Linked DNA regions of Caenorhabditis elegans. The protein of the gene in region 1 interacts with the protein of each later gene in a biochemical or structural test. Each region holds a gene or a part of one and is shown on either strand. Other genes may lie near its edges.

Evidence for each region.
Region 2: of the proteins of lgg-1 (region 1) and atg-4.2, one has a biochemical effect on the other in vitro, tested with the Caenorhabditis elegans proteins (one study listed by BioGRID).

What each region holds. Positions count from the first base shown.
Region 1 is NC_003280.10:6,346,230-6,349,819, reverse strand, and holds lgg-1 (Protein lgg-1), read left to right. Parts: upstream 1-2,100; 5' UTR 2,101-2,133; coding exon 2,134-2,421; intron 2,422-2,473; coding exon 2,474-2,557; 3' UTR 2,558-2,860; downstream 2,861-3,590. Other genes in the region: putative RING finger protein C32D5.10, read left to right, coding at 1-64, 113-165, 213-250. UniProt on the Caenorhabditis elegans protein: Ubiquitin-like modifier involved in the formation of autophagosomal vacuoles (autophagosomes). When lipidated mediates tethering between adjacent membranes and stimulates membrane fusion during autophagy. Recruits lipidated-lgg-2 to maturing autophagosomes.
Region 2 is NC_003282.8:11,666,142-11,670,071, forward strand, and holds the start of atg-4.2 (Cysteine protease atg-4.2), read left to right. Parts: upstream 1-1,882; 5' UTR 1,883-1,908; coding exon 1,909-2,162; intron 2,163-2,749; coding exon 2,750-2,889; intron 2,890-2,933; coding exon 2,934-3,020; intron 3,021-3,377; coding exon 3,378-3,478; intron 3,479-3,525; coding exon 3,526-3,836; intron 3,837-3,930. Other genes in the region: ZK809.9 (2-phosphoxylose phosphatase 1), read left to right, coding at 1-44, 135-563, 617-1,035, 1,287-1,751. UniProt on the Caenorhabditis elegans protein: Cysteine protease required for autophagy. Cleaves the C-terminal amino acid of ATG8 family proteins lgg-1, to reveal a C-terminal glycine.

The DNA.
Region 1 (3,590 bases):
TGCTTGTCGGCGCAGCACAAGAAGCCATTATCAGGATTAACAAACCAATGCCAAGCACTTCAAGGTGGGTTTGAAAAGATTTTATCGTGGATATGTAATATTCCAATTTCAGTGCTCCAGACATTTCGAAGTTCAAACCTGATGATATGTTACAGCTAGCAAGTTGTAAGTTTGTCATATTGCAGATCAAGTCTCATAACTAATTTTTACAGATCTCTCTCGAACTGGTGCACTTTCAAGGCGACAGTAAATCGACATTTGATCTCTGTTAAATCAATTAAAAAGGCGGATATCGACGAGTTTTCAAACTTTTTCCTAGGCATATCATAATTTTTTACAACTTTTTTACTTTTATTTTTTCTGACATTTCGATGTTTCGTAGTAGCAAGTTTCCAAATGTTCCATCCTGGGCTACAAGCGAACTTATTCGGCAATTTTTAGATTTTCGTTGTTTACGGTTCAAAGAAAAAAGCGTTTTTCATATTTTTATTGTTTCTCCATGTTAGCTATCATTTTTTATTTATTTATATTTATAGCTTTATTCTGATTATTGTACTTCTGTCCGTGTAAAACATTTCGTCACTATTGACTGTCTATAAATTTTTAACCTTTGGTTTATTGTTTGGTTATTTTTTTAATATTTTTTCTCGGTTTGCTTCCGGCAAATTTTTATCTTGTTCCTTTTTATATTTTTGCCTTTCTGATCGATTACATGGAGTGCACCCTAATGTCTTTAAGATCTTTTAATTGATTTGTTTTATATTGTCAGTTCTAGCGTTTTACCAGCTGGTCTTGAATGCCCTCTTCTAGTTCATTACATTCTACGTCACGGTGACAGCTGTGAATGTGGATGATGCTCTCATTGCTCCAACTCTTTATTTTAGAATTATGTCGCTAATGCACTTTCCACCTACATATTATTGTATGGATATAGTAGTTATATATCGTTTATTTCGTTTAGTTTTAGCATATTATGTTCCTTTAATAGCAAAACATACTCAATACCAACTGTTGTCTAGTTGTTATTCTAACCTTTTATCACTTTTGATCATTTCTAACGTTTAAAATTTCCTATCAAAAGAATCTAAGAACAAACAATCTGTCGATCGGCACCTGAAACCCCGATGATTCTACACCATGCTGCTCTACTTCTCTCAAACCATCCAATGTTTCCCTATACTCTCTTGCTCTCCTCTGCCTGCTGTCTCGTTTCGCCGCCGTATGACACAGTCACATGATGTTGAGTCGTGGTGTCTCGTCGTCTCCGCCCCTCTCTCATCTCTCTCTCTTTCTAGCTAGTGCCATTCGTCTTGGTGTGTTCAGTCTTGCCTCTCGCTCTTCTTTGCGACTTTCTGCCATTTCTTTCACTTTCTGGCGACGTCGGTAGCGACAGTACTTTTTTATTTAAAAGTTTGTAATTTTAGTTGGTTTGTTTAAAAAACCGGTTTCAAATCAAAATCTTTTTTAGATTTGAAATTTGAAATTAAGAAATGTTTCACAAGTTTGACTATTAAATGTACGGTTTAACAATTCTATCTAAAAATATTGCTAAATCATACCAAAATTATTTATTGAACGGTCATATTAATCTAGTTAATAGTTGATTACTAAAGTCTTTCAGAATTCAATTTTTTGGAACAATGCGCTAAGAATATTCGTAGAAACTGGTTATGGATACTAGTGAATATTGGATAAATGTTACTAATATATCGATCGACTTTCAGTCTTCCCAGAATTACAGTTTCCCCGACAACCTCTAAACAGCTGCATTGTACTTGTCCTGTTTCTCTGCATCTCAACAAAACCAGGCCAGACAAACATAGAAAATCAATAGGATGTCTCCTGCGTCTACGCGCTCTCATATGACCGATGTGCGCGCACACTCCCTCTCTCACTTGCACACGGGCCATTCTTGCTCATGCTCTTTTTGCCTTACTAGTACTCGTCGTCAATTTTATATAGATTTCGCAATGTGTTATCGAATCGGTCAATCTCTCAAAACCCATGTGATGTCACCTTCATTCACTCTCACTTGTTACACCTTTCTTCTCTCATGGTTCTTTTATGATTTTTCTGTGATTTAAAGTATTTTTATTCCAGTAACCTTCTCTTCACACTAACCTTCGAATCAAAATGAAGTGGGCTTACAAGGAGGAGAACAACTTTGAGAAGCGTCGTGCCGAAGGAGACAAGATCCGCAGAAAGTACCCAGACCGTATTCCAGTGATTGTTGAGAAAGCACCAAAGTCAAAGCTCCATGACTTGGATAAGAAGAAGTACTTGGTCCCATCCGATCTTACTGTTGGACAGTTCTACTTCCTCATCAGAAAACGCATCCAACTTCGTCCAGAAGATGCTCTGTTCTTCTTTGTCAACAATGTCATTCCACAAACCATGACCACAATGGGACAACTCTACCAGGTAACTAACCAGTCGTTTATTTTCATTTAATTAACCCTTTTCTTTATTACAGGACCATCACGAGGAAGACTTGTTCCTTTACATCGCCTACAGTGACGAAAGTGTGTATGGAGGAGAGGTCGAAAAGAAGGAATAAAGTGTCATGTATTATCCGCCGACGAATGTGTATACTTGTACAATGGAAATTTCATACTTCTAATGGAAACCCAAAGCCCCTTTAAAAAAATCTTCTCATTTTCTGTAATAATTCTGTATTTCCTTCACATTTTCTTCTCATTTTTCTCGTATGACGGTTCCGAGTAGTGACTTCTATTCAAACTATTGTCTACGAAGTTGCTCTTCTCCCCTCCCAGAAAATCATGTTTTCTCTCGGATTTTGATATTTTTTTGCTATTACTTTCAAATTTTTGATTCATGAATAAACGAAGAAGACACAAACAAATTCATGTTCATGCTCATCGTTATTTTCGGCCAGCGAATGGAATACCTCCAACAGTTAGCAATACACATTGCGAAATCACTTTTTCATCTGTATAGAATTGACGTCACATTTGTATTACGTAAACATCATTGTAGATTTCTGAACAAAGTATAGAGAAAAATGAGAATTTTATTTCGAAAATGGTGACACACTTTTGGCAAAAAGGCTCTTTGTATCCATTAGTCATCTGTCAAATGACAGTTTATTCTAGTTGTCATCGTCTGAAAATGTCATAAGAGGGCTCAAACGTTGACTTAGGAATCATTTTTGATTCGATTCTGGCATATTTTATCATTTTCGAGACACAATTTTGGTACTACCCATTTGCAGAAGTTTGAGATTTTCAATGCGAAAATACGGTAGCCGGTCTCGGCACGATGGAAACTTTTCAGCTACCGCACCCAAAAGTGTTTCGCAATTTTCACCTGTATCTGTTGTAATAGTTTCACTTAAAATTCCACATTTTTAAAGGAAAAACCGATACATTTTTGGAAAATTGTAGGAGATCATGAAAAATTAAAAACAAATACTTGCGGATACGGTATTTAAATAGTTTTGGCCGTTTCGAGACCGAGTACTGTAGGCTAACTCTAAAAAAATCTGCAAAATTTTCAAGATGTATAATTAAATACATATTTTTGAGATTAAAAAAAGAGTCTCGTTTCTCTACATCTTACTATTGTAAATC
Region 2 (3,930 bases), on another chromosome or scaffold:
TTTGTTCATTCTGTTCGGTTTCTTCTGCATTTTCAACGCATTTGGTGAGTTTACCATTTTATGAGCAGTTGGTTTTAAATCGAGTACTCGAGAAGTTATATTTGATCTAGATTTTCTATTGACACTATTCGCAGTTTTAGGATTTCTGGGACCTAACGAGCTAACACTACGCAATTCATATTATGAGAAGATGGTCATTGAACATTGCCAATTTGTGGAGAATCGAGATTTACAAGGATCCGAAGGACGCACTGATCATCCAAACGCTACATTGATTTCAATTTTAGCAGCTGTCAGACATGGAGATCGTTTTGGATTGTATACTGGTGGAAAATGTAGTGAACTGAGTGAACAAGAAGCAAAAGAATTTGAGGAGTACTTGACTGTCTCTCGTGGTCAGAATATCACAAGTCGATTGAATATTCCACCTGGTTTTGAAAACCTGCAAATTGTTCCGGGAGGAAATAAATGCCAAAGAGCATTTTTGTCTCCACGAGGCGCGATTCAAGAATTTGCATTGGGAAGGTTCTTATACAGTTTGTACAAGGATACTCCATTATTTGGTAAGTTTTATTAAGAAAGCTTCAAAAATTTATAAAATATTTATTATTTTCAGATACTTCGGAGACTCCCTTGAATTTGAAATTAACATTTTCGAAATTTCAAAGAACATTTGCTTCTGGAATAGCTCTTGTCAGTGGTCTGTTGGATCAAAATCAAACTAACTTCGCAACACCGATTCAATTAACAAACTCATCTGTATACTACGGGTGTACAGATGCTGAATGTAACTGTGACAATGTCATCAAGACACTACTACAAACGATGAAAGCAGAGAGTCAGGGATTGTTTCAATTGGAAGCCGATAGAAGAATTCTAGACGTTGCAAAGAAAATGTTTGATGCAATTAACTATTCTTCTGTACACATTGATCCTTTGGATGTCATTGATAACCTTGTAGCAGGATATGTGTGTCAACGGAAGGAACTTCCATGTAATGATCAGTTTTGTACCTCGTTCATGTATTTTGGAGATGTAAGTTGACCATGGTTTGTGTGACTTTTGAAAAAGAGCGGGAGCCTTAATTAATTTTGGGTCAGACCCAGACATGGATAACGTTTGCAAACTCTTTTCGAAGGTTCAACTGGAAAAACTAGTCAATGAATTTTGTAACTCATAGCTTGAAAGTAGAACTTGGTTAATTTAATTTACATATTTTTGGGAATTGAAATACACCATAATGCAAACCTAATTTAATTTTAAGAATTGCAAAAAAAATTCTTCAGGTTCTTGAATATTTCAACAAACAAAGTGCGAAAATGTTCAATTTGAATCTTGGAGTTGATAGACAATACCGTGTCCTGAATTCATATCCAATTCTGAGAGCTCTCGGTTTGATGGCTGAAGGCAACGAAAAAGAAGTTCAACTTTTCTCGTCTCATGACACAATTATTGGGTCGATTCTCCGAATTATCACGGACTCTGCCATCTACAATGATTGGCAATTGCTTGCGGCTCGGGTCGTTTTTGAGGTCTATGAAACCCCCAGCAAAACGAGATTGCTCCGCGTGCTCCACAATGGAGTCGACATAACGTCTACTGTGAAGTTCTGTAAAAGTTTTGAATATGGACTGTGCCCATTGTCAGGTCTTCAAGAATTTCTGAAAATTGGAATATTTGAGGTGGCCGGATTCAAAAGCTTCGAAGAAGAAACATGCAAGGATCATCGGACGGAACTTATACTTCTCTGAAATTTTTAAAAAATAAATACTTTTAATTGTTTAAAGTTTAAATTACCATTATCTCAACTGTATAGCGTACAGTTTTTCATACTTTTAATATTACTTTCTTGTTACTTACCAATTCTACTATCAATTGTAAGTTCCAGACTACATATGAAGCGTTAAAATGAATAATATACCAGACGATTTTAAAAAGATTGCAAGTTCCAGTCGATTACCAAGAAAATACTGTAGCTCAGAATCCTCATTATCAGATGATGATGGACACGAAATTGAGCATGTTTTGAAGCACGGAGCCCCGGAAGAAGCGTTAACTCCGGATACAGAAAGAATGGTTGTATTGGGCCAGGATGTAGTTCAATCTGCACCTGCAAGCCTTGTTCCGGGTGGCAATCTTTCATGGATGAGCAAAATTAAATCGTGAGTTTCTAGAAATTTTATGCTTTATTTAGCTGGAATGTTCCTAGTTAAAAAGTTTAACAGGATCATTTCTCATAGTCTAACAATTATGCTCGTATAAGTTTTAAAAATTAATCATCATCAAATATTTTGGTAAGTTTTGGTTCTATTTAGGCGCGCACAAAAGTACGTACTATGATAGAATTCCTACAAACTGTCCTATTTTCCAGTAAGGTCCGCGGTAGTTTTTTTCGCGACTGGTAGTTTTTTTTTGCGACTGGCAGTTTTTTTTTGCGACTAGGTAGGCATAGATTGCCTTTCAAGCTATTTATCAATGCATTTTAGCTTTTTTGTGCCTATTTGGAAACTATAAAATAAATCTATGTAGGCAATGTTCAAACAGTTATGTACTGTCAGCAATTCATTTGATTGATTAGTTATCACACGCTCTGTTCATACATTTTGTTCTTCTTATTCACAGTTGTCGGATATTTATAACGTTACATTATTTTGTTGTCTACAGAACTTACTATGTATTAGAGTTACGGTAAAAATGTACCAAGTTATAGATGTTGTGATCCATAACAATCAAAAATGTTTTTTTTAAGAGCCGGCGCGTCAATGATGGGAAGTATACGACCGTCAAGTTCAAGCCAAGACGTACATTCAACAGGAGAAATTGAGAAACATTCGAAGAAAAAGTGGAAAGCGAGATTATGGTCAACATGGAACAATATCAAATATTCAAGTGCGTATATACAGTAGCAATTTTCTATTAATTGAGGATTTTAGGTACATGGATGTCAGATCGAAGTGATGAATATGGAGGTGAAAATGATGTTGTTTTCTTGGGAAGAAGATATTCAACTAGTGTAGATGGTAAGTTTTCAACTGGTGTAGAGCGAACTTTTTAATGGGGGGAAATCTCATCAAAATGAAACAACTTTGTGTTAATTTTATATAATACACAATTTGATAGATTAGGAAAAGTGTTCACAATTTTTGTTGAATTTTTTGCACAAAATAATCCATGTTTTTAAAAATTATATTGGCTAAAAAGTTTTAAAAATATCCTTAATTACTGTGCCCGGCAAACTTGGGGTTCACGATCCCAACTTTTTTATTTTCCCAAAACCACCTTCGTTGAGCCCTTTTTTGTTTGTTCTTCAATTTGTAATCAACAAGTCAGAGTATTCGGCCATAGAAAGTGAAATATGGGAAAGCAAATTTTTGCAGAAAGTGGTCTTCGCTCGGGGTTCGAGAACTTTTGTTCTGATTACTACTCGAGACTTTGGATCACCTATAGGACAGATTTTCCAGCACTTCTTGATACTGATGTAAGAGACGCACTCAGTGTACTGTAATAAAATATAATATATTTCAGACGACAACAGATTGTGGATGGGGATGTATGATTCGAACAACACAAATGATGGTTGCACAGGCGATTATGGTGAATCGATTTGGAAGAGATTGGAGATTTACAAGAAGGAAAAGATCTCATGTCGCCGCTCATGGAGATGAAGATGATTTCGATAGAGAGAAAATTCAAGAGTGGATGATTCTGAAATTATTTGAAGACAAGCCAACGGCTCCATTGGGAATTCATAAGATGGTTGGAATTGCTGCAATGGGTAAAGGGAAAAAGGCCGTCGGAAGTTGGTATAGTCCTTCAGAAGCTGTTTTTATTATGAAGTTAGTTTTTGCTTGAAAATAATCTCACTTCCATATTTGCAAAAGGGAACTGTAAACTGTTTAAATCTTGAGCAAAACGTTGGAAATGCTTGGT